Nothobranchius furzeri: one gene and its partner. The protein of the gene in region 2 purifies or fractionates together with the protein of the main gene of each other region. This does not show direct contact. Links are inferred from orthologs where the notes say so. Each region holds a gene or a part of one and is shown on either strand. Other genes may lie near its edges.

Region 1 (16,588 bases), on a different chromosome or scaffold from region 2:
TAGTTACTTCCTTTCTATCAGATTGAACAAGTCTGGCCATTCTCCTCTGACCTCTGGCATCAACAAGGCATTGTCACCCACAGAGCTGCTGCTCACTGGATGTTTACACTTTTTCGGACATTCTCTGTAAACCCTAGAGATGGTTGTGAGTGACAATCCCAGATCAGCAGTTGCCCGTCTGGCACAAACCACCACGCCACGTTCAAAGTCGCTTAAATCACCTTTCTTCGATATTCTGGTTCGGTTTGGACTGCAGCGGGTCGTTTTGACCATGTCTACATGCCTAAATGCTTCACATTGCCACCGTGTGATTGGCCGATTAGTGGTTTGCGTTGATGAGCAGTTGGAGAGGTGGAACCAATAAAGTGGCCAGTGAATATAGTCTGGCCGTGACCCATAGACACAGCTCAGTCTTGGATTCTATGGTTGTCTTTCAAACTGTCTCTGCACGCTATTGGACAGCAACGTGACATACTCACCACTACGGACGTCAGTCAACAAGACAGTCCTCCATACACTGTCGAAGAAGAGGAGGTACCTCTATCTGCTCTTGCCTTAAAGCCCAGGTCTACCAGCCCAAAGTTGATGTCAAAGCTGTTTCACACGATCTGTCGCCATCTTTGTTTTTTCACTCCATAGCAGCATTCGTGCAGCTCGCGCCCACCAAATCAATAGAGTGCGGGGATTGGCAAGACACAAAACTACTCTGGCCAACAGTAGACTTGCTGAGGCTCCTATGGAGCACGGCTAGACCGACCTGCAGAGAAAAATCCTTTTGCTTCTGCTAGTCTGTCTAGATTTTCTCTTTCACAGCAAACACAATGCATAAATGTACACATTTATAAGTCTTTAATAGCTGATGATTTGACTGATGGCACTTATTGGTAGCCTGACCAGCCAGCCCCACGCTTCTCTGTGCAGAATTAAACAGAAGACGAGTCTGGCAGGCCAGGCTAACTTATTGGTTGACCAAGAACAACGAGGAAGTCAGTGAAGAAGTAAACAAGCGGTCCTTGGTAGATATTTGTTAAGAAATTCATCTTCCAAGATCGTCAGTTAAATATTTCTCTTTGAGTTCAGGTCATCTAGACGTGACCACTCAGCTAACCACTGTAAGAACTGGTCTCCTAAGATACAGAGGAACTAGTTCAGATGCACAGCAAGAGCAAGAACTGAGTGGTGTTCACCGAGCAGCCAGTTCAGGTTCTTCCTGTGCTGAGAAGACCAAGACAGAAGGTCTTGCTCCAAAAGACACTTTCAAGCTCAACTTAGCTGTCCACATGAACGAGACTAATGTTTTCTAGACTAATGTTGATGTGGGTATTAGTCTCCTCCAGCTTCACTGGCTGCCAGTCAACTTCAGGGTTCATTTCAAGATCCTGGTTCTGGTCTATAGGGCCTTACATGGACAAGCACCATCTTACATTGATGATCTTCTTAGTAGGGATGCAACAATACCACTTTCTTCCAAACCGATACGATACAGATACATGGATCTGAGTACTCGCCGATACCGATGACCAATACCGATACTTCTACAATACAAAAAAAGGCAATGATTTGGAATACAGATTTTATTTTCTTCTCTGCACAGGAAAAGACTGTGAGGTAGATAAAAAGTAAAATATATGAATGGAAATCATCACAAAACTAAAATATTAGGTGAACAGAAATGACAAGTTACAGTGAAGCCATTTTCAAACAACTGCATTGGTATCGGTTCCTGGTATCGGTTAACTTTTACCAATACCGATACTGGTATTTGCATTGTATCTGTGCCGATACCGATACCAGTATCGGTGCATCCCTACTTCTTAGTACCTACACCTCCAGCAGGTCCCTGAGGTCCAGTGATCAAAGCCTACAGCTTGTGCAGCACCTGGCTAAAGACCAAAGGTGACAGATCATCTGCTGCTGTGGCCCCCAGTGTCTGGACCTCTCTCCCCCTGAGCCTGAGATCAGTGGACTCAGTGAACTCCTTTAAAAAGCAGCTGAAGACTCACTTGTTCAAGCTGGCTTTTGTATGACCTTCTCCACCCTCTCCTTGTTCAGCTCTCCCCACCTATTCCACCTTCCTCAGGATCCACTGGTTTCCCTCTTTCCTATTCACTCTCTCTTTCTTAACATTTTTTGTTTTAAATCGCAATTGCTTATTCTTGTTCATTTTAAATATATTTTTAAACATTTTATAAATGCTTTTTTATATTTTTACATTTTTTGTTTTTGTGAAGCGCCTCGTGATTTTTATCTTGAGAGGCGCTATAGAAATGATATTTTCTTCTTCTTTCTTCTGGAGGCATGAATAGTTTTAAATGTGATTTTAGTTAAATAAGAGAAACATGATAGAACACATTAGACATATTTCCCTTTTACCACCCTCCTACTTCCTCTCCCTTGTAATATTCCCAAAAGAACAAAAACAAGATTAGGGTTCGTTTCCGGTGTTCAGATAAGGAAGCTAAATGTGTGGTTTACCAGAAATGTATAGGGATGGCGTCGTGCTCTTGGACGCTGCACAAAGGGGATGCAACAATGGAGAAACAAATGTGAGACCTCATCACATCTTTAAAATAAGTTTGTGAACACATGATCAAGAAAATCAGACCAAATGATTGTTTATTTACTCAACATTAAGACAAACTGAAATCCCTGTTGATCAAAGAGCATGATGAACTCCACATGCTTGCTTTAACAACAGTTTACACTGTAACGATAACTGCTATTTCCCACAGAAAGCAAACGCTGCTTAGCTTTTGTAAATGTAAAAATTCCAGATTAAGAGCAGAAATCGTTTTCAGGCACATTTCTTCCAGATAAATCAACATTTTATAGTGATACTTTGAGTAAAGCGCTCTTTTGTCACCATTGGGATTACAATATCAAAATGTTATAAAACTATTTATGGGTATTTTGTTGCTTTTTTTAATTTGGTGAAAATTTTGTTTAAAAAAAATCCAGGTTGCAGCAACCCGAAAAGGCTGGAGGTTGCAGGCATTTTTATTTAAGCAGCATTAGTAGAGTAAGAACTGAAGATTTCAGGTTTGAACAGTTCAAATGGGATCATTAAAACAAAAGCTACCCCACGTGGTGAGTGTGTGTGTGTGTTTTCAAACAGCTTATTTTTTTTACAGCTAACTTCAACTGCAGCAAAAAAACGCAGAAATCTTTCTGCCGCTCAACGACATTCAAAAGCAGGAAAGCGTGCAGACTGCTGAAATCATCCATCACACAGCATCAGACCATCATCTCCACGGATGAAGAGGCAGTTCTCTCAGAAACACACACACACACACACACACACTTATAAACTGGAAAGCAGAGAGACTAAATGATCCCATCTGATCTCACGCAGTGAGGAAACTGCCTGAGCTAAACTGCTGCTGTTGGGTTTTCAGTGTTTGACAAAAAAATTATTTCCAGGGTAAAGATTTTCTTTTAGGGTCGATCAGCTTCAATATAATAAAATATCTCATGTAAAAATAAAAAAGTGGCATTCCTTCTTTAGTCTCTTTTAAATCAACACCGTATCTTTCTTATTGGTCTACTACAACTCTGCAGCCCTTTCACGAGATTGAGAACGAAAGAGAGCGGACGGCGGAACAAACGCCAACGGGGAAAAGAGCCCTGCCGGCTCTTCCCCCCCCCCCCCCCCCCCCCCACGTTATTTCTGTCAAGCCAGACAGGATAGCTGAAATGCAACTAGCTAACGCAGACTCGTCCCAGAGTCTTTGATTTCTGAGTTAACTTAAACTTGAGAAAGCGCGTCTGCTAAACGCTTCATCAACGTGTACCGAGGTCAACTCTGGACTGGACCGTCGCACACCTTCGTCTCCTCTGCCAGCCAAGGTGTGACCTGGATAAACATCCTCCGAGGTCCGGATCTGAAAGAGGGTCCTGAGTACGGTGAGGCAGAACACAATAGATAGCGTTCTGATGCAGTTTTTCTAATAAGAACTAAGTTTAATTACAAAACATCATTTTTCACTCAGATTCACCTTTTCTCTCCCTGAAGCAATCTCAGACACCTGCATGCACGCAGTCATAATTACATCATCCTCAATCTTAGCACATCCAACACAAGGTCTATTTGTGCAAGCTTAAAATATCAACTGTTAAAGATTGTCCAACAAGGTTGCCAATGTCGATTGTTTTCTCTTGGAGGGAAACGTGTCTTCACCAGCGACTCGATGCTGGACGTGAAGAAAAGATGATGAAACATGAGACTAAATATAAATTTAATGGATATTTAGTTCACAGAACATCTGCAGCCATTGTGGTTTTCCTGTTGTATCGGTTGTTATTTCTGTGAAGTCAAACTTTATCTAATTAAACAATAATTTAGCATTTGTTTCTATGTTTGTCACTGAAATGTGTTTATTAAGTGTGTCTGCCCTCCACTAAGTCGCTACGGCTCTACAGGTGGGATGTATATCAGCTGATCGTGATAAACTTCACCTCATGAGAGGAGGGGGGGGGGCTACATTTCTCACTAATTCTGCCCATTTCTTATTTTCTGTAAAATGTGTGCAGGGTTAGTGTTCCAGCCGGCAGCCCTTGTCCATCCACCAGCTCACAGTTTGGCTCTCAGAGGCTTCAGGTATTTGTGGAAGGATTCATGGACCTGAGGAAAACATGGGACAGGTTTTAAGGTGTGATAATAAACACTTCAAGGATTACCACGTATACGTTAATGACATAACCAGGTCCTGGAACCCGTGCTACAAATTCAATATCCACTCTTCACGTCACATGATGATGGTTTGTTCACCTCTGTGGCATTAAGAGGCGAGCGACGAGCCCACTCGAACATGTTCTCGTAGACATTTCCATCAAAGCGTCCCAGAACAGAATTCAGCTTCTTGTCGTGGATGTCAAAGGCGTCCACCAGCGCCACGGCGTTGGGCCTCAGCTGAGACAGGAGCTCTTTGATACGGACGGAAATCTGTAAAACCTGAGGCGCGCTCAGCAGTCCAGCCTGAAAATAGACACCAGAGATGTTCAATTAGGAAAACGAGGTCGTCGAGCACAGGCGCCACCGGTCCCTCCGACCACTACCAGCAGGCAAGGAGGGTGGCAGACGGGGCTCGAACCTGCAACCCTCTGATCATGGAGCAGGCACCTAAAGCTTGGTTTATGCTTGACGCATTCACTTTCCGCGCGGTGATGCGGCTCGCGGATGGAACGCGCTTCACAACTAGCAGCGTTTATGGTTCGTGCGGCTCGTCTCTGCGGTGAGCCAATATTCTCCCAAACTGTAGGGGGCAGCATGGAGCTCTACGGCATGCAGCCAACACTACACCATAGTAGAAGTAGAAATTACTGTTTACAACATGGCATTTCAGCATTTTTAACAGCGTTCTCGTCTTTTCCGACAGTGCGAGCTATTTCTCTCCAAGAATTATTAACAACATGTTGATCACGGTGATCTCTGAGAGCTGAATCATACAAATGTCTGTCTTTACGAACCTCTGCCATACTAGTTCTTGCCGGTCCGCCATGTTTTTCCGCATCCGTCCGTCCGCGTGGTTAGAAATTTTCTGGAGGTACGCGTTGTGGAAACTCTGGGTCGCGTGGAGGCGCGGTGGAGGGGCGTGGTTGTTAAAATGACGCAACTTTTCCGCGCGGAGCCGTGCGGACCTCGCGGACGCGTCAAGCATAAACCAACCTTAACTCCTCTGCCACCATCGCCCAGTCAACACCAGAAACAACGTATCTTTTTTTTTTTGTTCACACAGTAAACCAGATGAGATCTAAATTTGCTGAGTCATGGTTTTCAATAAGAAGAGACCACATGTTTTTGACAGGTTTTCATCTTGAAGGACTTACTTACCAGCAGGAAGTCTCCGGAGTTCTCTGCGATCCCATGCATGGCATAGAGAAGAGCCAGGGTGGACAGCACAGAGTGTATCGCTGTGTCCCCGACCTCCCCCAGCTTCTCACTGAAGACCTTCACTACAACGTAGTGACAGTGGGCCTGGAGTCACGACACAAGTCAGTCTTTCTCCACAGTTCTACATGCACACGCACACGGGTGGACTTACATCTGAGGCTCGGACCAGCTCGATGGCGCTACCGTTCCAGGCATCCTCCTGACTCTTCCCGCGCTGCAGCTCCTGATGGATGCTCTTGGCTGCCATCTCCACCAGACTAAACACACATGTCGTGCATTAGATAAAACTCACCGGAACTCAAACGGATTGAATGAACGGTTAACTTTTGTTTGGATTGTTCTGATGTCTGAAGCTACCGAGCCACAGTCCGCCTCACACTTTGCGCTCATCGCAACAGACACCTGCTGGCAAATGGATCTGGGTGAGACTACAGCAGACAGTAGGAGTGATGTCATCAGCAAAGGCTATCGGGTTGCACACAGAAAACCACAGAAGCAGGACTCTGATGGCATCATCATCATCAATCGGACATTCTAGTAGAACCCATCTGAGCCCCAGTAAAGGTGTTGGTAAATGAGACCAACGTGACTCCTCCCAGAGTCGTTAAGATGAAACTCAAACCCACTGAAATAATCACAACGTTCTTACATTGCAGCTCTCTGTTTGTAGACCTCCACCAGGCTGCTCAGATCGTTGACGTCGACCACAGGCGGTTGGGCGGCGACGGCCTGCGGCTGCAGCCTCCGGTTCTGTGACTCGTTGAGGTACGACACGATGCCGCTGAGCTGCTGGCCCTCTTTAGCCTGCCGGTAACTCTTCACCAGATATCTGCACAGACCCAACGTTACAGACGACAGTTTCACCGTGGCTACAGTCACAGACGCGTCTGCAGGCTGCAGCTGTACAGGTGAGTGGGTTTAGCGGTGCTTTAGTATTTAGTTTTATGAACTAAAACGATCTCTTTGAAGGAACGGACCCGACAGGTAGTGGCCTTCGTGGCTGTTTATTCCTGTGTAGTCACCTGGCAGTCTGCAGCATCATAACGGTGTTCTCTCCTTCGTAGGTGCAGGTGGGGGTAAACGCCACGTAAATGTCCGGTAAGGCGCTGCTCCGGGAGTAACCGTGGCCACCACATGACATGCGGCACACTTCGATACCAGAGTTAGCTACCCACGTGGTGAAGGCCTTCAGACCCGCAGAGAGGGCGTGGAGCTGCAGGTGGAAGAGCAACGGGGCAGAGAAGAAGAGCTTCAGCGGTACAAGCATCAGCTTTGATTTCCAGTCAGTTTCACCTTCCGACCTCCATCTTCCTGCTCCAACTGGCTTTAATAAAACAACTATCTATGATAATAATAATGATAGTGGTGATAAATAATAATAATGATGATCATAATAATTATATTAATAACAGTAATGATAATTTTAATAATAATTACTATTATTAATAATGATAATAATTATAATAGTAATAGTGATAATAATATTATAATAGTAATGATAATAACATTAATGATAATAATAACATTAATAATAATAGTAATAATAATAATTATAATAGTAATAGTGATAATAATAATGATAGTGATTATAATAATAATGATAATAATAATAATAATAATAATAGTGATGGTAATAATGATGACAATAATAGTGATGATAAATAATAATAATGATGATCATAATAATTGTATTAATAACAGTAATGATAATTTTAATAATAATTACTATTATTAATAATGATAATAATTATAATAGTAATAGTGATAATAATAATTATAATAGTAATAGTGATAATAATAATGATAGTGATTATAATAATAATGATGATAATAATAATAATAATAATAATAGTGATGGTAATAATGATGACAATAATAGTGATGATAAATAATAATAATGATTATCATAATAATTGTATTAATAACAGTAATGATAATTTTAATAATAATAAATTATTAATAATGGTAATAATTATAATGTAATAGTGATAATAACATTAATAATAATAATAGTGATAATAATAATAATGATAACAATAATGATAGGGATTATAATAATAATGATGATAATAATAATATTAATAATACTAATAATAGTGACAATGATGATGATAATAATATTAGTAATAATAATGATGATGATGATGATTTTAAGTGATAATGATGAGATGACGATAATAATAATAATAATAATATTAATAATAATAATAGTAATAATGATGATGATAATAAGTGCTAATGATGATGATGATGATAATAATAATATTAATAATACTAATAATAGTGATAAAGATAATAATAATAATAATAATAATAATAATAATAGTGACAATGATGATGATAATAATAACAATAACAATAACAACAACAACAACAATAATAGTTGACATTTTACTTATGAAACTAAAGCCGAGTCCATCTCTGTAGCACCAGCGCTTATGTCTGGACTTTAACCGGTCCAGTACAGAACCTCAGCTCCTTTCTTTTTAAGCTGCTTGCTTGTAGATCGGGTGCTGATGGAGCTGGGCATTATGGGTAAACATCTCAGTTTAATCTCGTTCTGCCAGAAGTCCTCAGGTTGATGGTGGGGTTGATGTGAGACTTGAACAATTTTAGAAGCAACTAATCAGCCTCTTTCAGACTGATAAGTAAAACTCTAGCACCGAAAGGTGGACTTCCAAATAGTTCCTGAGCGCGGACATGTCTGCGGCTCCCCCAGAGGATGGATCAAATGCGAGGATGTAATTTCAAAAGTGTGTGACGACTAATGGGACTTTAACTTTTCCCCATGACTGTAACTCCTGAACGTGACAGTGTGGCTGGTACCTCAGGGAGCTCGCTGAAGTCCCCGTCGTTGATGTCTCCAGATATGCGGTGGTAGATCTTTGACATGTACTGGCCAACAAAACTGAAGGCGTAGGCTGTAGCCAGCAGGGGGAAGAGCTTGTACTGCTGCGTCTGGTAGTCCAGGATCTGAGGCTCCGGCTCTCTATGGATTACACACGCACGCGCACACACACACACACACACACACACACATTTTACAGTGCCATTTTTATTCTTCCGATTGTTTGCTTTAACCCTATTCATGATGTTGTAGCAGCAAGAGCCATCATGCATTAATGCATCTTGATCCGGAAGCATCTCAGATTGTGGATTTTACTGATCATTTTTAAATAACACGTATTTCCTGAAATAACACAAAAGTCTCTGTAATCCCATAATTCCAAGGTTCTACTTTCCTCTGATGCTCTACATGTCTACCTGTCTTTGGTTCTTGTGTTTTCTATGAAAAATACTCGATGTAAACGTCCAGAACTTGCACTTAGAACAACCTCAACACATAACCTTAAGCATATTCTCCGTACTGCAACAACAATCCCCATGGGAGACACATTTGTTTTGATCTGATCTGCTTGTTGTGCTGACTGACCCGGGTCGGATCTCAGACTGGTGACGGACGGCGCTGTAGCGGATGGCAATGGTGGTGGACTTGGCGAGGGCCCGAGCAGACTCGCCAACAATAATGGAGCGGACAAACACCATGGTGCCGTAGGTCAGCTTGGAGCTGGGTGGCTTCACATAGGAACCGTCTGCCTCCACCTAGAGGAGGGCCAGAGTCACGTTTACACCCAGATCTGCAATAAGGACTTCATGCATCTGGAACTTGTTCAGATTTCCGTCCATCTACAGTAAAATAACCTAAAGGGACAATTTTAGCTCAACACAGCAAATGCTACAAGCTAGCAACCAAAAGTAAGTAAGTCATGAACACACCGTGTTTGTAAAAAGAAGGTTAAACACCATAAGTGGTCACAACTGATAAATAAAAGCAGACATGAACCCTCTCTAATGGTGAAACAACAACCGCAACAAGCAGGGGTGTAGCTAGACTGAAGGCAAACCTTGGGTAGATGATTGTGGTTTTAAAGTCTGCTCAGATATTCTCATCACCGTACCTTAGCATACTTCATTAGCATGTTCTCCCGTGGAATCCTCACATTCTCCAGTTTCAGGAAGCCGTTGTCAACTTCACTGAAGCCAAATTTTGGCCCGATGTCGCCGACCACAATACCTGGGATGGAAAGGAGCCGTATGAACAGGGTGAGGTGATGAACGAGGACGAAAAGACGAGTCGAGTTTACCTGGTAGAGGTTGGTGTGTGCTCATGTCGCGGATGGGTACGATGAAAGCGTGCAAACCGTGACAGTTCCCCAGGCTGTACAGCTGGGCTATGACTATAGCATGGTTGGAAGACTTCCCCACTGGAAGCACAAAGTGGGCAGATTATGTTGGTCCATCCACTTTGATCAGTGCTTCTCCAACCAAATTACAACAAAGACAGAAGCTGACCCATAAAGTGGATTTTTATGAAGCGACTGGCCAATGATAACGCAGCTTATTGAGTTTGTGATTCCCAGCTGCACCAGAGACACAACAGCGTGGATGTACTCACGTCCTCCGGGCCACCACTTGATGGAGCTGACGGTGGGGCTGTTCAGCACAAACTCCTGGGTGGCTGGATCGAATGTCGCTGTGGTCTCCAGGCCTCTGAGGTGAGTGCCTAGAGAGGTTAAAGCCCACCAAACAACATGTAGGAAGAAGAGTTTTAAAGAAACAGAGAGGTAGAGTTAGGCATTAGGACGTGTTTACATATAGATGATGCTGAACAACACGACAGGATCATTTCTTAGCAAGAGAACAGCATAGATTAAATGAGGTCATGGCTCAGAAGACATGGTTATTGTCTGACTCAACAAAGCCAATTAAAGTCTGTGAAGGTTCTCAGTCATCCAGGTCATTGTAGTCTAATGAGCTTTGAAAGAAAAGCGTCTGGACTTCTTTGAGTTGCTTGAAGACGTTTCAAGACGTCGGACGTTGAAGACACCAACTGTCTGCCATCTATAATCCAGTTTTGAGATCCCTTCCCAGATGCCTCAACGCCCACGCATATCCTGACCTCAGGAATTCACATGATAGGGTGGGGCCAGGCTTCACAACGAGCTCACCCGAAACTCTGGCTGAATAGGACCCACACCCACCCTCACACCTTGGCTCATGTGTTTTTGTAGAAGATCATCAGGGGGTCTTTTGTCCCCTCTTCGGGGGGAAACTCCCACTGGGTTTAAATCTGGGACTCTCCACCATTTGACCTTAGAACTGAAGAAGCCTCTCGGATGAGAGGTGAAACGTCTTCAAGCAACTCAAAGAAGTCCAGACGCTTTTCTTTCAAAGCTCCTTAAAGCCAATTAAAATTTTGTTTTAATTTGATATAAAAAAAAGAGTAAAGCAGAGCATCTTGTAGTGTTTGACAGATCTCAAGCATCCTCTGAGATAATGAACGTCCTGCTAGTTTAGCTGGACTGCAGCAAAAACAGATTACGACCCGTGTTAAAAACATAAAATCTAGTCAAGTTTAAAGGGTTGGTCAAAGGGGGAGTTTATCTGGGAGTGTCTGGTGATCGGGAAAGGAATCCAAGGAATTGTGGCTATTCTAGGGGTCTAAAGGTGGAATTCTAAGCGGAAATGAAGATTTTGTGCAAACACCAAACAGGAGCCTTAAATAAATGTAATAATTACGCAATCAATGTTTAGTGTGTCCTTCAACCTTACTTAATCTTCTCTGATCAGACATCTCTAGAGGCTTCAGTCAGAGCCCAGCATTCTCCACCAGCTCTGCTGAAATTTGGCACGAAAACATATTTTTGTTTTGTAAAATATAACTGCCTAGAAACCTAGACAGACAGTCGCAGAAGTAAAACAATTATGCTTTACAGGTCAGTCTAGCCACACCCCATCGGAGTCTCAGCAGGACCGAAGAGTCTTGTGCCTGGCCAATCACAGCACTCCATTGGTTTGGTGGATGGGATGTTACTGCGATTGAACAAAAAAACAAAGATGGCGACGGCTTGATTGAAATGGCTTTGGCGGCAACTTTGGACTATTTAGACTTGGACTTGTCTTTGAGTCCAGGGCAGAGAGAGGTACTTGAGTTTATTTAGAAAAAAGATGTATTTGTGTCTTCACCGGTGTATGGCGACTGCCCCGCAGACGGACATCCATAGCGGTGAGTACGCCATGTTGTTCGATAGCATGTAGAGACAGTTACGCCTACCGCCTATGATTTGTGAGTAAAATTAGCCAGGGGGGTCTCTTTCAGGCTCGGGGATTTCTACATTCCCGAGAAGTCCCTCGGATTATGTGAACACTACAACGCCCGTTCGAGACCGAACTCACTCCATCCAGCCCCACCAAACCCCGACCGTGCCGACGCCAATGTGTAAGCGCCTATAGATCTCGCCCCAGGACTGAGCTTTGTCTATGGGTCGTGGCTAGACTATATATCCACCTCATTCCTGGGCCTGCTCATGTAGAAACGATACCGGAAGTGGTGCAGAGCTCTTGGTTTGCATGGTGAGGTTTGGTTTCTCGTAGCGGTTTAACATTTTTGTGCAGATTTTAAGAATTAAATGTTGCGATGTTTGCGGTTGTACTAACAACCAGAGAAAGTGAAATTAGTGGCTACAGGAGCGATGTTTGGAACATGCACTCAAGACTCAGACTCAAGAGAATATCACTATGTAGGTCCTGGAGAGCCACGGAGCTTTTATGATCGTTCATTGCTTCGCCGTCAGACGTGACCGAGTTAAGTAGCTAGAATGCTACTGCGTGTTAGCTTTGGTCAGGTTTTCATGTCATCCTCCGCCCGTCTAGTGCAGTAGACAGAGGGATTGTTACGGTGTCCCGTTTGAGCTGTGACAGCTGCTGTTCCCACATAGTTTACGTCTAAAAAGACCATAAAAAGTGGATTAGCACAAATGGATTGCATCATCCATCTATGGTTGCCATGTAAACGGTAGGCAGGTCGCATATTTTACATAAAGGGTCTTGAGGGCTTGGAATAGGGTGGATTGGACCTCAAACAGAATGCGTCAAACATTTTAACTTGTTTCCTAGAACGCTGAAACGTTTACATCCCTGCAGCCTTAAAGAGATAAATCCTTTAGTCATTTGGGATTTTCTGACAAATACAACCAGAACGTTTGAAGAGACCTGTGTGAAACTGTCCTGCTGCTCAGAACGGGTCTGTTTATTTTACCGTGGCCCATCTCAGTCTGAGCGTAGGTGCCGATGATGTCTAGGTTCCAGGTGAGCATGAAGAAACGCTCCATTTGTTCTGGGGTGGCCTGGTTGAGCAGAGTGGGCAGGAACATCACCAAATGGAGGTCCAAGGGCGATGGCCCACCTGGGTGCACACAACTTGGCCAAGCAAGACAGAGGCAAACAGAAAAGGCAAAGCAAGCAGTAATGTGGGAAAGGCAAGAAGGAATATGAAGAGTTTCAGGAGATGAGTTTAGAGAACCCACAGAGGAGTTGTTGGTTAATGATTGATACGGTTCAAGTTTAAGGGAAGAGAAGAGAAGGAGAGGGAGGTGTGGTTGTGCAAACAAACAATAAAAGCAGAGGCAACAGAGAAAACAGTTTTTGAGCATTACATGCATATTGGAAGTGCTGATTTCAACACTGACATTTACCACCATCTTCTTTCCCATTCAAGTGCGTTTTGGCAGGGAAGGAACGGCTCACAAAACTCACGGGTAGCACACGGTCATGGTTTTGGTTCGGATCACCCATCTCAGTTTTACTTTCAACACTAGAGAACATCTGGGAAGATCCTCTAGGATCACCAGTCCTCTTAGACTTGTCATGGAGTCGTGTTAAACTGGACCAAAGACCCAGTCTGGCTCCAGGCTCATTCCTGGGACAATCCTGGATTAATTCTGGGTCTGAGTTTAGCAGAGTGAATGTTTAGAGCACTGGGTGTGCTAAATGTCAGTTAGCTATGATTCACATGTGTATCCTGAGTTTCCTGCCTCAAGGAAGAAATAAAACCTTTGTTCATCTCTGCGTCTGCATCACAGCTGAGGAAATCTGATCAGGATGAGATGTTAGTTAGCAGCTACACGTCGGGTGAGAATTACACATGTTTCCCAGAGGTCTCTCTGTTCTGTTTCTGAGACTTTCTCACCGCCAACGTAACGGACTGGATAATGATCCCAACCAGAACCATGTGTTAGGTTTGGGTTTATTCCCCCTTAACTAAAGGCAACACAGCTAATACTTCTTATGCTCGTTCCATTCCAAGTTTTTGGTAACTGCACGAGTTTGACACCAGTATGGGAGGGTTTGTAGGATCCTGGTCCAATGGCGGACTAAACCAGAAAGTGCTGTAAATATATTCCACATTTTCAGAGTAAATGTGTACCAATTATTTACAAATTGAGGAACTTCCTTCAGTAACAGATGACTCTGTGGAGAGCCTGGTGTACATTCTCACTCCCACAGATTTGCCTTTCAGATTACGGAGAGACCTTCAGAGGCCTCATTCTGGATTCCCCGAGCACACTTTCACACCGCACAGGATTACCACTGAACTCACACAGATCAATGTAAAATATTCTCAGTCTGATCACACGAGATGCAGTGAAGCCAAAGACAGACCCAACCGTACGGATAATTTTCCACCTTTTGTTTCTTTTTTTACAAACTTTGGTTATGATTTGTAGAAGCTGGAAATTAATCAGAGTACATCAATCAGAAAGCACCCGAGATGCATCATCATCATCATCATCATCGCATGGGAGAGAAGTGAGAGAGCTGAAAGTAGTGTGGATGGGATTGTAGACAAAACAAGGTTAGCTCTAAAAGTGTTTGTTTTAAACATCTAGGTGTTAGGGACACAGACGCTGCTAAGCATGTACTATAAAGCGGGTATTAGTGGCTTGTTAGGAAAACATCCAGCCGCTGAACAAAACCATCCTGAAGCTGCCGTGTCTGTTCTTCGTGATTTAGATCCGTCAAACATGTCCAAGAAAACTCCACTCTGTTCATGCTGGGTTATGGAACAACCCGGTTTGGTGTCTGACCCAAGTACAACGTGTGGTGATCATTTAAAGACAATCCTGCCAATCTGTGCCATCTAAGATCACGTAAAGTTTGCTTTAAGAAACAAATCTAGTGATTGATCTCCAACCCAAGAACAGGACTGACCGTGACCCAGCTCGGTTTGAGCATATGTGCCCAAAGCCTGGTAGGACTCAGCAAGAGGCAGCCATTTCTTGGCCTGTTGGGGGTCACACTGGCTTTGTAGGGTTGGGACGAACATGGTATAGTGCAGCCCATAGGCCTCCTGATGGTTGCCATTAACCATACTGGGTGAAAGGAAGGTCAAAGTTCAGTTACGGTTCCTCAAAATGCAGACAAGAGATTATCCTGAGCTACCAGGTTCAAAAGGCCTTTTAAAGACCAAGTTCACTTGTTTTTCCAACACTCCAGCAGTTGTCTCTAGTATAAATTAACGTATTCACTGCCAGCCGTTTCCTGATCAGAAATCCCGACTGCCAATGAGTGTTTTTACTGTTTTTTAAAAATTCACAAAACATTGTGCTCTATGATCATTTAAACGCCAAAACTACCAATTGAAAAAGGAAACTCACTTCCTACATCATCAGGAAGAATCGGCGGGTTTCTAGCGTTAACAGTTCTTTAACAATCCGTTGTCGAAGTGTAAGCGGCAGAAGCTTTTCCGGTTGGCACCTCACTTTTTTCACAGCAGCGACCCAAACTAAGGGTGTGTCCAAACCCACGGGAAGGATGCTTGTAAGAGTGCGATGACGTCACAGCGCAGCGACGGGTACTGTCCGAATTCCAAGAATACTCATTCTCGCTAGGGATGCACCGATGGATCGGCATTTGATCCCAATCGTCCGATAGCGCCCCTATCGGTTTTGATTGGAGTTTTAAAAATAGATCAAAGCAGACCGATCAGGTAGGGTTGTCACGGTAACCGATGTAGCGGTAAACCCCGGTAAAAAAAAGTTGACAATAATAATAACCGTCTTGAATTTAAAAAAACTATATTATCTCGGTGGTTTTACCGTGGCTGCGGTGTAGGCGCGGTGACCCTTACCAGCCACCGTATCATCTGCTGAAGTTGCCGGCGGCACATGCGCGCTTTGTTGTTTACAACCACAACTTTCTTGAAACTAAAGCTGAAATAATGGCCAAAGGAGGAGACGGCAGCGCTCAGGAGGACATTTTTTATCCCTCAAAGAAGACAAAGTCGGAAGTACGGGCATCTTTTGGATATTTGAAAAATGCCGAGGGAGTTTATAGAAGACGGCTATCCTGTTTGCAGCACGTGCAGAAAAAGTGTCTGTGAAAGGCAGCAACGCTTCAAATCTCATGACACATCTGCGTGACCATCACCCACAACTCTAAAGTCAACACAAGGCAAGCTAACGTTAGCGTTTTAGCTAAAATGCATGATCCGAGGATTTGGGTTGAGGAGAACGCAACGAGTCGCTATATAAAGCAGCCGCAGCGGTTTTTTTTTTTTACAGCAGCGGCCCAAAACGATCTCCTAACACATGGATTTTCTGCTTCCTGATCACGTGACGTGTTATGTATGCGGATGAAGATCGGCTTCAGAGCTGAGATGTTTGTTCTCTCGGTGCGGGGGCTCGTTACAATGCCTAAAGTGTAAAAAAAAAAATGCAAATGACGACTAAAGTTGGATCTAAAAGGATGACTTTAGTCGTCAATGGCAGTTAATGAGTTAAAAAGCTCTGGTGCTCCTTTGTTAGGAAGTAGAAGCCAGATGGAGCAGAGGGCAGCAGAACAAGGCAGGATTAAAAT
Region 2 (17,024 bases):
TCATTAATCAATCAATCACTTTTGCCTCCTACAAACATCATAAAACAGCTGAATGGCTTTTTGTAATGATTGATTCTGACCTGCGGAGGGCGCTGATTGCAGCAAATTCTTGCTCATTTTCTGCCTGACAGGTTCCCAGATATTGCCAAGCCTGCAATTCAGTGGAAACAAAATGAATTCATATTTCTACACTAAAGCCTGAGTCATGCTTCTGCGTCAGTGCGGAGACGCAACGCCATTATACGTCCTTGCGGGCCTGCTGGAGAGCCCCGCAAGGACGTACGGAGTCGAGCTCTCTTTTCTTAACATCCGTCCGTCAAGAAGGAGAACGCAAGCTTGTGATTGGTCAGGGCGCCGCTGTCGTCTACAGCGCCGCCATCGCGCCCTCAAAAACATAAAGAGAGCCGAGGATAACTAGCGGCAGACACGGAGAAGCTTGAAGAATACCTCATGAAAAAAACTCTAAAAATATGAACGTTCAATTCCCCGTGACTGGAGGAGTGAAAAGATGCACAGCAAGCGTTTTATTTGTGGGCAGAAATGACAGGAAACGTGGGTTTAGAGTTGGCGAGTGCATGAAGAGGTGGAGGAGGATGAGAGACTATTTTGTCCACGTTAAAAAGTCTCTTATATACAAAAAAAAACCCAATATAAACACAATACAGTGATCACTCGCTACTTCGCGATTCGTTTATCGCGGATTCACGACTTCGTGGATTTTTTCTTTGGAGCCTTATTCAAGGGAAATTCGCCGATTTGCGGTATTTTTCTGTCATGTTTTGGGGTAAGTGTCTAACCCAAGACATACAGAATCAGACTCGAGTCGAGGTAAAAGATAAACAATAATTTTATTTCTTTAATGATGAGGAGAACTGAGGGCGCACTGGTGATCCAGCGGAGGGTAAACCAGGAAGCGGCAAAATGCGGAAGTTCAGGGTGATATCCAGAGGCGAATTGTAGATTTCCAGGTGGCAGGGTAAACGGATGAGGAGGACGAGGAAACGGAGAGGGAGCGTGAGCACGGTGGAGAGCGGGACGGCAGAGCGGAGTTGGTATCCAGGCAGCGAACCGGTGAGTATCCAGAAGTCTCCAAGACGGGAGCGAATCCAGAGGAGAAGCGAGTCAGGCAGTAGTTAATCATCCGGCGTCGTATCTGGATAACGGCCCTCCTTTTAAAGCCGTCCCGCTGATCAGGCTGATGAGGATCAGCTGCGCTCCCTCTCCTGTTAAATAAATACTGTAAATATGGTGTCCCTACTTTGCGGATTTTCACCTATCGCGGCCAGGTCTGGAACGCATCTACCGCGATGAACGAGGGATCACTGTATCTTGGACCGATACATGACAGGATACCACAGAACAGCGCTACGCCCTCTGTTGTCCTGGCGGGGAATTGCTCTGCAACACTCCAGGAGACGGAGAAGTATGAGAGCAAAATGTCTCCGTCCGTGCGTGCGCGTCTCTCCCTGTTGGAGCTGACGGAGAAGCATGAATCAGGCTTAGGACGAGAGAAAATACACCAGCAAAACACGAGAGCGTGGAAGTCCCACCAGCTGGTTTTCTGGTTCCTTCTGTACGGCGCTTTCAAAGAATCGGACCGCTCCAGGGATGTCCCCCGCCTCCAACCTCTTCAATCCTTCTGAGAAGGGGTCTGGATGGGACAAGCAGGGGTTGTCCTCTTCAAACTGATACCCCTACAGGAGACACACGGAAGAAGAGGAGATTAGCAAGGTCAGAACATCTAACATCACAAACCCGACTGCTCTGATCAGCTACCTTGTCGTAAGATGAGCTGAGCAGCTGATCATAGTCAGACAGCCAGGGATGGCTCTCTGCGTCTCTCTTGGCCATCTCCTCCCACTCCTGCTGCAGCTTTTCCCAGAAGTCCACATCACTCTGACAAAATGAAAGATACAAATATCACTTTACCCCTCATTACATCCTTCTGTATCACAGACAGGTTTGACCTTTAATAATAATAATACGTTTATCATCAGGGATGAGGTTCTGCCCTGTAACGTGAGGAAATATGGGTTTTCTGTGCCAAAGGTTGTACTTGGCCCGGCTGGGTCAAAGCTGGGGCGCGCAGAACTTTCACCCACAGAGTGAGACCATAAACCATTACACTACAGCCCCAAGTGGAGGAGTTTAAGTATCTCGGGGTCTTGTTCACGAGTGAGGGAAAACTGGAGCGTGAGATCGATAGGCGGATTGGTGCTGCATCTGCAGTGATGCGGGCGTTGTACCGATCTGTCGTGGTGAAGAGAGAGCTGAGTCAGAAGGCGAAGCTCTCGATTTACCGGTCGATCTACGTTCCTACCCTCACCTATGGTCATGAGCTTTGGGTAGTGACCGAAAGAACGAGATCGCGGATACAAGCGGCCAAAATGAGTTTTCTCTGAAGAGTGGCTGGGCTCTCCCTTAGAGATAGGGTGAGAAGCTCAGTCATTCAGGAAGGGCTCGGAGTAGACCCGCTGCTCCTCCACATCGAGAGGAGCCAGTTGAGGTGGCTCGGGCATCTGGTCGGGATGCCGCCTGGACGCCTCCCTGGTGAGGTTTTCCGGGCACGTCCAACCGGGAGGAGACCTAAAGGAAGACCCAGGACACGGTGGAGGGACACGTTGGACTTAAAATGTGCTAAAAATAACAGTTTTTACAACACGTCGGACTTTTCACTGTGTTGTTATTGATGTCTGTTTTCCCTCAGGATTGCTGCAGGAGGACACCGGTATTTATGAGCGGCGGAGGAAAACGAAAGGAAGTAAATAAATGTTTTGTGATCAGTATAATTTGACATAACCACGGTAAACATGCTTTCGACAATCCTTGTTAGTGTGAGAAAAAAAGTGTAGAAATTAAAACGGACGTGTGTTAATAGGGAAACAGCTGGCGAGCCATGTTTGCGCATGCGCCGTGAGCGGTTCTGGTTCTGTTTGGGCTGCAGCCGCTTGAATTTGTTTACTGTGACGTAAAGTTGAAGTGCTGAAGTTTTGAAAACTAAATTTGAATAAAACTTGAAGAATAACTGGCAATTGCTTGCTCATTTCAAGAGGTCTTTCATATTTTATAACATGCTATTTGATACAAGGGTTTACAAAACGCAAAAGAGTAATTTATTAGAGTACTCGATTACAAAAATATTCGATAGCTGCAGCCCTACAAAATTTAGACACAAACTGCGGACAATCTTTTCCTGACATACAGCAGGGTTTATTTAGTGGTCTGAAAATTTAACACGTTTAAAAAAATACCGCGATAATACCGAAAACCGTGATAATTTTGGTCACAATAACCGTGAGGTTAAATTTTCACACCGTGACGACCCTATACCCCACATTTGGGTTAGAGGTTTTCTCACATTTACCTCCACCGCCGCTTTAGCTTGTTGAAAATCTGGCCCAGATGCAGCGAACTCGTCCACCCAGGCTTCCGCCGACTCCTCTGAAACCTGAAGAGAAATGACAACGGTTGCTACGAGTCTGTTCTCACTGGCCACGCCAACTCCTACGAGAACGAAGGATGGGGACGTTTAAAAACAGGCGAGATGAAGCCAGAACATAAAGGAAGCAGCGATGAAAGCAGAGACTAGGTAATTTGCTACAACCCGCTTTTACTTCTTCCTAATTCTACTTCTAGCAGCATCAGACGCTACTTGCATCTCAAATGTTCACGTAGGAATAAAATAGACAAAAATTAACTTCTAACACAAAAAATAAACACCTTCTGCTGCCACGACCCCAAAGGGCCTACCTGCCTGACGACTTTGGCCCATTGCTCTGCTTGTTTAGCTTTAACTTTGTCAATCTGGTGATTCGTCTCTGGAGGTTCCAAGGGAAGACTCCCTCCCCCCGTCTCCGTCAGGAACTACGATGGGAGGCGAGGAGGGGTGGCGGTGACAAGCGGGGACATCGTTTTTGAGGGGAAGGAAGCAGTTGGTGGGGAGGTTTGGTTTTGGAAGGGTGGGTGGAATAAGCATCGTTTTAAACACAATCGTAAGAAATGAAAGCAGTTTTTTGTTGTTGAGGGAATGCCAAGCCAAGAGTTTGAAGGCTGGTCAAAAATGGGAACAGTATGTGTCAAAGTCAAAGGATATGAAAGAATATAAACAGTCCAAGCAAAGCAGGATTAAGAGTCTAAACCCATTTTCACCAAGAAAAGGACGAAAAAGAGAGCATTAAATAAAGGAATAAAAGCAACAAATTAGGACAGAGAATTTGGGCTTAAACCATTTCAAATGCAACATAAAGCCATGATGGACCAATGCGATAGCGCTAAGGGGAAAACAGTAAACACTTTTAAATTCTAAATAAACAAATTAAAAGAAGTAAATTATAAAAGTCTGCAAGAAAGAAAAAAAAAAGAGCATTCAGGGGTGCCTAATCCTGGTCCTGGATGGCCGGTATCCTGGATGTTTTAGTAGTTTCCCTGCTTCAACACACCTGTATTCAATGAGCAGGTGATTAACAGGCCTTTGCAGAGCCTGGTGAACAGGTGATTGATCCAATGAATCAGGTGTGTTGGAGCAAGAAACTGATGGGCGTTTCGGCCTTTTACACTTTGAAGGGTTAAAGTAACAACAGATAGATTCTTTAAGCTGGAGCTTTAATATTGATCTCAGTGATTATTGAGTTAGAAACTTGATCAGTTTAATCTTTGACACCACTCTGCAGCCCTCTGCTGGCCAAAAACCACGCTTGATCATTTTGTGGAGCGGGTAGGTGCCCTGTAGAGGGTGGTCTTAACCTGTTTTATGGCTGTTAGCTGTAATGCTAGCGGTTAGCATTTTCAGAATGCAGATCGTCAAATAAAAAGCACAAGAAGGCTGGTGTCATGGCGGAGCCTGGAAGTAAAAGTAAGAGAGGAATGTCTTTGGAGGTGAAGCAAAGAGCTAAAACCAGAGTGAACATCGGCGTGGCCTACACAAATTTGAGGGAGCTGAAGGAGGCTACAAAAGCCACGGACTGATGGTGACCTGGCCTTGTTGCTACGGGACTTGTAAGTAATATTTTTGTCCAACAGTGTGAATCTTTTTACTTCATGGTTTATTTTAGTATTAGTTGTCTCGTGTTAGTGTTAGCTCGTTGTTAGCGCTAGCTACAGCAGGCTGCAGCAGGGTTGTTTACGACAATTGTAATTCCACTTTCAGCCAGTAGGGGGAGGAGCAGGAACCTGCTCTGTGTTACTTTAAAGATGGAGAAAAACTACTTGTAAGTTTTGTTTTAATTACTAGACCAAATATCCTGAACAATAAATGTAAAGTTGATATTTTAAAGTCAACTTCTAAATTTTTAAAAGCTGAAGTAAAGGAAAGCTCCTGATCTTCATTTATGCCACTTGCCATTTCAATTCTCCTTTATTCTTTTCCAGTTTGGCAAGCTTCTATGTTTTCTTTTTCAATAAACTAGTTACTGTTTGTTGTTTATTTAGTATTTCTTTGTTTCTTGGCAGATACGGTCTTCCACGCTTAGCTGAAAAATAAAATCTGGCACCAGAATTTCGGAAATTTCGCTGCAGCTCTGAGAAAGCCGTGGCCGGAGTCGACACAGGAACAAAGAGCTACCCTCACACGAGGAGAAGCCGTCCTCTTTGCAGAACACATCTTCTCTACAGGCTTGAGATTCATATTACAGGGAGAACGTGGCTTCATTTGGTTACATTTGTGGAAAATTTGTACAGATACTGAGGGGATGAGTCACGAGACAGAGCCTTTGCTGTGCAAAAAAAAAAAAAAAAGAGCCAATTCGCTACCCGAACTCTAACGTGTTCCCAGTTGAAACCACCCCCTCCTCAGTGGGCTGTGACTCATACCTGGTTGAGGTTGGAGGCCCAGTTCTGAGCCTCCTCGGCCTGAACTTTATCTGTCAGCTGTTTGTCTGTTCTGCTCTCCACTGTCACACTGCCCTCGCCAATCTGCCTAATGAATCGCAGGAACTACACAACAACAAAAAAATATTTACCATTACTAACCCGTCAGGTCTCGCAAATTAGCAGCTCATTGATTGCGACACCAAAACAACAGTCTCACAAAAACAAATCTACTCTGAAAATGTTACAGAAGAGGAAGATTATGGTGACAGATGTGTAAAAACGAATGATGTGCAGCATAAAGAGGATCCCCGACGGGTGGAAGAAACGCTGCTCACCTCGGTGTTTTGCAGTTTGGGGTCGTCGACCTTTGAGACAAGCTCATTGGCCGTTTGTCTCAGCTCATCCTCAGCCTGATACTCCTTTGTCCTGTCAGATCAAAAATACCACCATCACGCTGCAGTAAGAGCTCTGTTTACTCGTGGTTCTGCAGGCTGGAATAAATGATTTCAGGCTGAAAGCAGCACTTTGAAATAGTTGCCAGTGAAGAGAAGTCCAAGGCCGATAATCATTACATGAGCATTCGTTCTGATCAAATGCTTCAGTGAGAGCTTTTCTCACAATAAGCTCAGTATAATTACAAAAAAAGTAGAAGAGAGAAAAAGTTAAGGAGAAATTAAAATCTATCCCGACACATCCGCTTAACACGACGTCAACAACATTCTCAAGGTTTAGTTCTGCATTCAGATCGGCCATCTTTTGTTTTGTCCCGTGCTCCTCTCTGCTTTTACTCCCCCACAAGTGTCTTTCCTGCGCTCAGGCTTTACCGACACTCATAAAGCGATTCAAGCTCTGCTCTCACCATTCAGTCTCCTTGTCTCCAAGGTCCCCCAGCCACAGTTTCTCCTCAGACTGCTCCAGATACTCTTCTGCCCAGCGTCCAGGATCTGCAGCAGGAGAAGGAAAAACAGTGAGCAAAAAAAGACAGATTTGTCACGGATCTCATTATAAAACAGAGAGAACGAGTGCACGGAGTGAAACACAGACTCAAATTACCTGCAGCCTCAGCGATAAATTCTTTGGTCCAATCAGCATCTGCCGCCTCGCCGAGAGCATTCAGCCCCTGTGTGGCAGCAGAGTCGGGACCCGAGAGGAACTCGGCCGCCCAGTCACCCGAGAGGGCCAGTGCTGCTACATCTGGAGCTAAGACCAGGAAATGCTTCTTAAAACTGTTTTTGCATTATTAACACACGGGAACTTCTTAAAACTGGGACATAAAGCAGATAAGATAAAAGATTATACACATGAAATACCTCTCTGTGGAGCTTGTCTGTAGCTCTGCTGATCAATTTGCTGCATTTCTTCCAACAACTGACCCATGTCAAACGTGTGTGGGGGTCGCGGAGGCGCCTGAAGGAATTCATTTACCAACTAAAACATAAAAACACAAAAAAAGGCTAAAAGTGGCTATTTGAGAGATTACATCCAGAAATCAGAAACGTGGTAAGAATAATATTCTAATGCCTGACGAAAAACATCACCGACCTCTTCCTCTGTTGCAATTTCAATGGGTGTGGGGGGAATCTGAAAAAAGTTCAAATAAATAAATAAATGATGCAGCTAAACAAAAAAAAATTAAAATAAAATAAAAAAAAAGAAACACAACTCACTGTGGGTGTCAAGCGGTGCCGCCATGCTCCTTCTTCTTTGGTCATGTGACTGGTCAACTTCATGAGGGGATTGGCCCCCCCACATTCCGCCTCCACCAACTCCCGCATCGCCATGGCAACACAAGGATGAGGCAAAGCCAACCACACCACCTAGGACTACGAACAGAAGGAAATCTTCTACTGCTGCGTTTGTTTTAAACCTTCTCAATATAACAGTAACACCCCCATTGCTGTTAGTGCAGCACAGCTGGTTAATAATAACAGGAGATCTAACACCGTTACAAATGCTTGGTGACGCTTTCGTCCTCTTATCTGCTTAAGCAGATTTCTTTCAAATATTTTAAACAAGCTTGAACTAAATCATTGGCCAGTGTGAATCAAAAACATATTTTCCACAGCAGCTGGCTAGGTTGTCTGGACTGCAGATGCTTCTGTACCTACGCATAGTAAATCCCCAAGTGGTACCTTAACAGACACGTTCTGAACAAAGCACAATGAAAAGGAGGTTTATTTTTACTGCAGATTTGTTTTTAAACGTCCGAAGGACAACTCAAATAATTTTTGCTTTGATTTTACAGTGAATGGGTCAGAAAAGAGAAACCTGGAAGCTGCACAAGTGGCTTCACGTTGCATCGACGAGTTTAAACTCCCATCTGTCATTTTTTACATCACTTCCTGGCTTTTTCGAACCGTTACTAATGAGAAAGCAATGGCCTAGGAGGCACACAAATATCATCTGCTCCGTGCTTCCAGTAAGTTCGGCTCATTTTAGCAGCAACATTGTCGATGAGAGGAAAGGGCAACAATATTTGCAAAATAAAAATAACAGATTACAGTTATTTTATAGGAATTATTTGGTATAAGTAAATCATTTGTGTCACTCACCTGATCTGCCAAAATAAGAGTAACAGCACAATTTAAACATATATACAAACAATAGAACTACTGCTGATCACTGATCTCCATGCCCAAGAATGAACAGCTGACAAAAGGGTACATTTAGCCTACTCAAAATCTCCAACTCTCCCTGGAGGGATGTGAAACAATTTCCATAATGAAATGCGTGGAACAGATTTTTAATTCCACTCAGCTCTTATTTTGTATCTAAACCACCAAGTACAGCATTACACAACCCCGTCCATGCAGGTGGACGGAGTCGCTGCTCTCATGCAGAATGTGGACGTGAGTTTTCCTACTGAATCACACAGCTGCTGCATTATGATTAGGGTCAAAGTAAGAGGCTTAGACAAAGATATTAATACAGACATTATCACTGATAGGCCACTGTGACACATGTTTGTACACAACACATCTACTCAAGAGACATGCTGTAGTTTTAATACAGATGGCCCACTTTTGTGGAAAAAAACTGAAATCATAAAAAAGATGTTTTTGAATTGTGCACACCTGTCAGTCAGCGTTCAGATATCTAATGGCCCACGCGCTAACTAGCTAAAGACCCAGCAACAACATTAGCTTTGTTATCTCTTGTAGCCTCGTGTGGGCTCAATAAACAGCACATTAAAAAGAAGATGAAAACAATTAGCAACAATTTAGCTTTTAAAATAGATGTGCTAAGTGTTAGTTGGCAAGCTAGCAACCCAGGGCCAGTGCACAGGTCTCCACCCGGAGGAGGAGTGTGTTTACGGGGTAGCGTGATGTTCATCTCACCGCCGACAGCTCCTCCTGCTGTAGCCGAACAGTCGCTCCGCGCCGCTCTGTTTTCCGTCCTCGCCGGATCCTTTCTGGGCTAAAGCTGGGTCAGAACAAATCCTCCAGCACCGCCTCACAGCCTCCGCTGTGTGTTCGTAGTAGCGCCTCTTTTCTATTTACCTTCCTCCTCCATGACCCACAAAACCTTTCACCGAGCTGCAAGAGGCTCGTAATTCTACGTACTCTACGTAGTTGTATTCTTCAAATATTTACGAACGTGGAAGTCGGGCTTCTAAAGGCAAAAGAGCACGTACGTTTACGTAAAAATATGTGCAAGAGACTAAAGTCCAACAAAAGCAAGAGATGTTCCCTTCTGTGGAGTCTTTTATTTTAGGAAAACCTATCTTGTGTTTTTAGTTTAACTAATAATTTACTGACTAATTAGTCAGCCAATATAAAGAAAAGCCTCACAGGTTGTCTTTGCAGCTTGGGTGGAGTCAGAAATATCCAGGTGGAAAAAAATAAAGATCCTCAGTGCAGCTGACCAAAGAACCCAAGTCTTTCAACATTTGGGGAAAAGGATAGTTTGGGAAAGTCTCAAAGTATAAAGGTCAAACCTGCAAACCATCATTCAGGTATTTACGGTTTTCAAGTCCTCAGGCTTTTGAGCACGAAGACTCTTCATGTTACAGTGATCAGATCAGCCAAGTGTTCTTGGGGGCCCCTTGGAAAACCATTACCACTGCACAAAAGCCATGACTACATCCAGGAATGTAAAATTGCTGTGCAAAGAGGAAGCAATAAATCAACACTGTGTAGAAACAATGATGAGGTCTTGGGACACTAACTCATCTCAGATGGACAAAAAAACAGTGGATATGTTCTGTGGTCAGATGAGTTCACATTTTTGGTTGTTCTGGACAAATAAAAGAGATACTGAGCTCTGTATACAAAAAAGAACAACCGTCAAAGTTCTCATTAGGTAATAATAATTTTGCTCATTCATACTTTTGTAAACAAGAAACCTGCAGTTCAACAGCCTGATTTAACAAATTCTAGCTCCTAAATCTAACAGAAGCATGCACTAAACTGGAAAATACGCTCATATTATTAAAAAATGCAAAATATCTGTGGATTTTTGAATGAAAACACCATTATTATTATTATTAAAGGTCCAATATGTAAGAATGACAAATGGTGCAGTGGCTACCACCATTGCCTTGCAGCTACAAGGTCTTGGGTTCACATCCTGGCCTCAAATAGTTTGCGTGTTCTTCCTGTGCACACATGGGTTCTCTTGGTTAATTGGTCTGTCTAAATTGTTCTTAGGTGTGAGTAATAATAATAATAATAATACATTTTATTTAAAAGCACCTTTCAGGACACCCAAGGTCACTTTACACAAAACACGTAATAAAATACAATAAAACAATAATAAAACCCAAAGAAGAAAAAACAGAGAGAAACATTTCAATAAAATCAGAGGTTGTAGGCAGATTTAAACATGTGTGTTTTGAGTTTTGTTTTGAAAAGGGTAAAACTGTCAACGTTCCTGATGTCTGGGGGAAGTGAGTTCCAGAGTCGAGGAGCAGAGCGGCTGAAAGCTCTGCTCCCCATGGTAGCGAGACGGGCAGAAGGAACCGCAAGATGGATGGAAGAAGAAGATCTGAGTGAACGGGACGGGGTGTGAATACTTATAAGGTCTGAGATATATGGAGGAGAGAGGTTGTGGATAGCTTTGAAGGTATGGAGGAGAATTTTGAAGATGGACCTGAATTTAACTGGGAGCCAGTGAAGCTGCTGGAGAACCGGCGTGATGTGGTGAAAGGAAGGGGTTCTGGTGATAATACGGGCTGCTGAATTCTGGACCAGTTGCAGTTTATGAAGGAGTTTGTTTAGGAAGACCATAAAGAAGTGAATTGCAATAGTCGATACAGGAGGTGACGAGGCTGTGGACGAGAATGGCGGCAGTGTGAGGGGTCAGTGAGGGACGGAGACGGTTTATGGAACGTAGATGGAAGTATGCTGACCGAATTAAGTTATTAATGTGAGCCTGAAAAGAAAGTGAGCTGTCGAGAATGACACCCAGACTCTTGACGTGAGGTGAGGGGGAGACTGTGGCGCTGTCAATAGTTAAAGAAAAGCTGTCAGATGTTGAGAGGGTGGAGTTAGTGCCAACAAGAAGAAGTTCAGTTTTATTGCCGTTGAGTTTGAGGAAATTAGAGGTGAACCATGATTTGATTTCAGAGAGGCAGAGTGTAAGGGAGGATGGTGGGAGAGTTGAGTTGGGCTTACTGGAAATGTAGAGCTGGGTGTCATCTGCAAAGCAGTGAAACTGGATATTGAATTTGCGGAAGATTTTGCCGATAGGGAGGAGATATACTATGAAGAGGAGGGGCCCCAGGACAGAGCCCTGGGGCACACCTGACTTGACTGGGGAGGGTTCTGAGGTAAAGGATTTTAACTGGATGAACTGAGTGCGGCCAGTAAGGTAAGATTGAAACCAGCTGAGGGGGGTGTGAGTGATGCCTAAGGAAGAGAGTCTATTGAGGAGGATGGGATGAGAAATGGTGTCAAAGGCCGCACTCAGATCGAGGAGAATAAGAATAGAGATTAAACCAGAATCAGCAGCAATGAGTAGGTCATTAGTGATCTTGATGAGAGCTGTTTCTGTGCTGTGGTGGGGACGGAAGCCAGACTGAAACTGTTCATAAAGGTTATTGCGGGTGAGATGGGAATGGAGCTGAGATGCAACAGTTTTCTCAAGGACTTTGGAAATGAAGGGAAGATGGGAAATGGGACGGAGGTTATTGAAATCATTGGGATCTAAACCAGGTTTTTTTGAGTGTGTGTGCATGGTTGTTTGTTCTGTGTGCTTTTGTGTTGCCTTGCAATGGACTGGCAACCTGTCCAGGCTGTACTCTGCCCATTTGCCCATTGACTACTGGAGATAGGCACCAGTCCATGTGACCCTGCATGGACAAGCGGGTTCAGATGATGGATGGATGACATCTTGTGTTCAAATTTGGGTATTGCAGCCCATTTTCAAAACACACAAGTGACCCTCTCCCACTCTGTTTCATGGCTGTTACCAGTTAGGGATCTCCAGAAGATTCTAGATGATAAGCGAAGACGAGTCATACACATTGTGTTCATAAGTGGATACGTATCCTACATTTTCATCTAATATTGAGTTGAAAAAGTAGATTGAGATTTTTGTAGAGCCAGCTATGTTTTTCTAATTCATGGTTAGCACTGTTAGCTCAATGTTAGCATCTAGCCTTCCTCACACGATATTAGAGTAAAACACAAGGATGTCTTTGCTTCTTAGGGGTCAAGAAATAGTTCCTGGGTCGCTCCTGTTGCTTGCTGACACACTTCTGGAGCTTTTTGCTGGCTGGTGTCAAATTACAAATGTTGCATTGACTGGCGCCAGCCTCGAAAGGATAAAAACGGACAACCCCCCACTCTGTTGAGAAAGAAATCTGTTTCAATGTAACCTTCCTCCAGCATGATTGAGCCGTTAGATTATTTTTTGATTATTTCACTGTAAAATGATTACTTACTGTACCTTTAAATAAAAAATATTGTTGTTGTAAATGTGTAGAAATACAAAGCAGAAAGTTTTCAGTTGCTTTCTCTAGTTGGGGACACTAAATTGTTTGAACAATTTAATTATTTTAAAGGTACCATTTACTGTATCAAGGTGGAATTTATTTGGAAAGCCCTGATTGGTGCAAAATAATTCAATATTTAATACATTTGCATTGAAACAACATCACAAATCTTTGTTTCCCCATTAAAGCCATAACTTTTTCATATTTTTTAAATCATTTTCTTGAGCCAGTATGGGCTAAAATGAACCTTTACAGGGTTAATGAAATGTTACTCAGTTCCTCACTGCCCTCTGTGGCAAGAATGCCGCACTTGCATTGTCAGAGTGGCGGGCTGCTCCCTGTTGGACTTATAGTGGAGCTGAAATACCTGGCGCTGGAGTCTGCTTCCAGCACGTTTCCTGCATGTTTTAGATTAAAACACATCTAATTTGTTAGATTTGGTGATGAGCCGCTCTTGTAGAAATTTGAGACATTTCAGCAGTTAGATTAAGACGGACGCACAGCAAGAAAAGAAGTTTCACTTTTGGTTTCACTAACCTGACACTAGGGGGTGCTAAAAGCAAACCTGAACTGAACTTGCGCTGTAAGATGAATTCTCGCGAGATTTGGAGTTTTCCAAACTCGGAAGAATCCTGAATCAAAATATGTAGACTCGACACGGGACGGGGTTACGTGAAGTTCTACTTACTTTGAGAAAATCATTGGTAATATATTGTGTAGGTAGATGTATTTGTAAGTAAAGCCTAATTACCTACCTGATTGGTTTGAGGAAAATGTAATTTTTCTATTAAGTAGGAAATATTTCAATCAATAATTACAATTAAGAAAATTATACGTGACGGATACATAATTGAGAAGCTTTCGAACAGCAAAATTAATCTATTTTAAAGTGAATTTTACTTATTTGTTTTCAAAAATGAGATTTCTTGATAAAAATGCCCTCCAGTATGCAGAACCACCACATTAATAAAGAAACCATCTCATGGAGATGTCATATAGTGTTTTTATTATGAATTTTGTAACGTTTTCCCACAGTTAATTACTTAGCATAATCCATGTTGGCATTTTATAATTATTACAGATAAAGTCTGAACATAGTAATAATATAAGTTATTATTCAATGCAATGTTTAATCCTTCTTAACGTCACACTCAAAAACAACAGGCTTTATGTACTGACAGCCTTCGCACTGCACATTAATAGGCTACACAGACAGACAGCAAGAGACACGGAGGGAGAGGTGTGGGGGGGGGGGGGGGGCAGGAAGGTGGAAGGAGGGAAAGGTGAGGAGAAGCACACAGTTGTACATTCAGAGGACTGAAAATGACATTTGAATAAGATTTGGAATAATGATAATAATAAAAAGCATTTTATCTTTAAATGGGAAGAAAGAAAAATGACCCTGCAGTCTAATGCATGAATGAGTGAGACGTATTGAAGCATCACAACAATGTGCCCTCCTTTTTACTTTTCATTTATATGAACATATGCTTAAATTACAACAATATTACACACAACTAAAGAGACACTCATCAAGCCGGAGATGATCATCCTTATCACTACTAATATTAATAGTATTCTTATTATCATTATTATCATTATAGTATTTTCTGATGCTGGAAAGGTGATTCCTTAAATGGAAAAAAGAAAGAAAATCACAATTTGCCTCCCTCTTAAAATGTGCTGGAAAGAGAAAGAGTGAACACAAAATAATAATAATAATAATAGATATAACAATATTTTGTATGTACAGAAAATTCATTACAATCAAAACTGCCCAAGCTGAGCGGACATTCTGGAAACAACTAAGGTGGCGATGTAGATGCTGTGTTCTTGTGTGTTTGCGTGTGACATTCAGTTGAGGAGTGTACAGTGAGAGAAATGGTGCAGAGGGCGACATGGATGGGCAGGCAGGGGGTCAGAGGTCAGGCGCTGCTTTTGTCATCCTAATGCACGAGCTGGAACTTTGCAAAGACTCCAGTTTGAAGCTGAAAACAAGTTGAATTAGAAAGTATTTCATGTTTTTTTGAAGGCTTTTGTATTTATGGAGTGTTGCAGAAGTAGCGCCTGTATGAAGGTTGAGGTCTGAGGTTGGTGCGTGCTCCGATGTTGTTGGGGGGGGGGGGTAAACAAAATACAGCAAAGAATGGATGTAGGAGACCAATCTTGCTATAAAAAAGCATGTGAGGAGATCTGATTTGAGGTTTTATAAACACAATAGGTGAGCGCATTGCCTTCACAATGTGGTGGAGAAGAGATATTTCAGGAGATGATAGAAATAGGGAGAAAAGGGCTTGTGCAAAGACCTTTTGAGTCAGTTCATTAAACAAGTTCAAACATGTGAACATCAAGGATTCCGTCTTTGCCCAGAAACCGTACTTCAGGTTTGAAGATTTGACTTTTTTCATTAAGAAAGGAAGAATACAATCAGTTATTTAAACAAAACAGTCCCTTTCAACCAGCCTTGCACTTCACAGACACCGTGTTGTGATTTCGACCACATATAATTTTGGTGGGGCTTAGTTAGGCGATTTAATTACATTGACTGTTTACATTGTGCCATTGAACATTTAGGTGGAGAACGACAGCCGGTTGTTGGCTATAGGTCACATATGGCGTTGAGTGTTACAGTGATTGTGCGTTGTGTTTGTAAGCATACATTCCTTATACATGTGGTGTCAGCAGTTGATGTTAAAAGTGTGTGTGTGTTTGTGTGTGTGTGTGTGTGTGTGTGTGTGTGTGTGTGTGTGTGTGTGTGTGTGTGTGAGGAGCGCTGATCTTGTGGTTTCCATGAGAACTCGTGCAGAGATACATGTGGCTCAGTAGCGACGGGCGTTTCCATCTTTGCCCTCCTTCTTGATGATGATTCGCTGGTCGTCGCTCGCATCGTCGGGCGACTCTGCTGCCTCCTCGTCTTCCTCCCCCTCCCCCTCCGTGTCGGCAGAGATGCCCATAGGAGATTCGTAGGTCTGTGGGAGCACACGCTGATGAAACTACATGTCAATAAATAATTTTTTATTCATTTATTATGATTTTATTCCCAATGAAAAGCAGTGGTGCTACCTCCATTGGGTTGACGATGATGGTGAGTGCTGAGTCATCCCATTGGCTGCTTCCTTCCTTTGCCCCTCCCCTTGCACTGTCGCCTCGGCGATGGATGGAACGAATTCGGAAGACACCTAGGATTACCATGACAACCAGGAAACCCACACACACCATGATGATGACGGTGGCTGCTCCTGGAACCACTGTAAAAAAAGCACAGACCACGTTCAAAGGAACAGTTTCAATAAAAATGTTTTCATTTAATCACACGAAACTACCAAAATGAGCAGAAACAAACATCTGAGTTGATCTAAAACCTGATGCAGCTCCACTGTTCTCAAAAGCATATTAAAAACGCCTCAATGTGCCACTTTACTGAAACGGTCAAATCAAATCTTCATAACAATAAACAAAGGTTGCTGCATTTACTCAGCCACTTTCATTGTTGGACTAAATAGCTACTTAAAAATCCAATACTTGTCTAATTTATGCTGGTAAAACCCACAGAGTCCTTTTGTCAAGATGTCAACAGAAACAAATTAACATTGGCTTTAGAGACATAAAAATACAAACAGGAAGACTTCTATTTTTGTCAATTTCACTCTTCAGATTCCTAATTATTAAGGTGATTTATAGATTTATTTTTTCTTTTTGCATAAATGTTGAAGATTTGTTGACCCAAACAGTAGAAGATTATAAAATATCATTCTGTATTGGTTTAGATCACATATGTCAGAGTAAAGGCCCGCGGGCCAGATGCGGCCCGCGGAGCATTTTTATGTGGCCCGCGAGATAAATATCAAAAATATATTAAAACTGGCCCGCTGGCCGATTTTACCGCAAAGACTTCAACTCCCATGATGCTTTGTGGCGTCAGCAAGGAGGCGACGCGCCCCCTCCTTTGTGTTTTTTCCAGCCCGAGGCAGTCAGGTCAGGGGTAGTTGGGTGTCTGCAGCTCCGCTGTCTCGGACAAACTACACTCCTCTCACTCAGCGCCGAGTTCACTCAGCTGTTTTCTGACGTTGAAGCCCAGAAATGGAGTTTCTAGCCGCTCAGTAATGTGTTCACGGCTTAAAGAGAAAGTTTTCAAACTAACGTCCAGACAGAACTGATATAACTCCAGCGAACAGCGACACGCTCAAACCAGCACGACTGGTCGTGTTTCCTCCCCGACACACAACAACGTGGTCAAGCTGCTCAGACATGTTCATCAGCACAAACCTATGTGAGCACC

What was found.
Region 1: the proteins of pex5 (region 2) and acox1 purify together in Homo sapiens (affinity purification with mass spectrometry; 3 studies listed by BioGRID, with this or other methods). This does not show direct contact. The link is inferred for Nothobranchius furzeri from reciprocal best matches to the Homo sapiens genes PEX5 and ACOX1.

The regions. Positions count from the first base shown.
Region 1 is NC_091747.1:74,018,375-74,034,962, reverse strand, and holds the end of acox1 (peroxisomal acyl-coenzyme A oxidase 1), read right to left. Parts: intron 15,103-16,588; coding exon 14,942-15,102; intron 13,151-14,941; coding exon of another isoform or gene 12,990-13,150; intron 10,455-12,989; coding exon 10,347-10,454; intron 10,156-10,346; coding exon 10,036-10,155; intron 9,966-10,035; coding exon 9,850-9,965; intron 9,494-9,849; coding exon 9,324-9,493; intron 8,880-9,323; coding exon 8,717-8,879; intron 7,104-8,716; coding exon 6,913-7,103; intron 6,720-6,912; coding exon 6,540-6,719; intron 6,148-6,539; coding exon 6,042-6,147; intron 5,975-6,041; coding exon 5,831-5,974; intron 4,976-5,830; coding exon 4,769-4,975; intron 4,622-4,768; coding exon 4,571-4,621; 3' UTR 4,219-4,570; downstream 1-4,218. UniProt on the Homo sapiens protein: Involved in the initial and rate-limiting step of peroxisomal beta-oxidation of straight-chain saturated and unsaturated very-long-chain fatty acids.
Region 2 is NC_091745.1:74,158,621-74,175,644, reverse strand, and holds the start of pex5 (peroxisomal biogenesis factor 5), read right to left. Parts: upstream 9,352-17,024; 5' UTR 9,147-9,351; intron 7,632-9,146; 5' UTR 7,590-7,631; coding exon 7,476-7,589; intron 7,390-7,475; coding exon 7,351-7,389; intron 7,237-7,350; coding exon 7,119-7,236; intron 7,009-7,118; coding exon 6,862-7,008; intron 6,753-6,861; coding exon 6,668-6,752; intron 6,235-6,667; coding exon 6,144-6,234; intron 5,932-6,143; coding exon 5,809-5,931; intron 3,865-5,808; coding exon 3,751-3,864; intron 3,449-3,750; coding exon 3,365-3,448; intron 1,897-3,364; coding exon 1,777-1,896; intron 1,695-1,776; coding exon 1,551-1,694; intron 152-1,550; coding exon 81-151; intron 1-80. Other genes in the region: clstn3 (calsyntenin-3), read right to left, coding at 15,565-15,729, 15,809-15,993.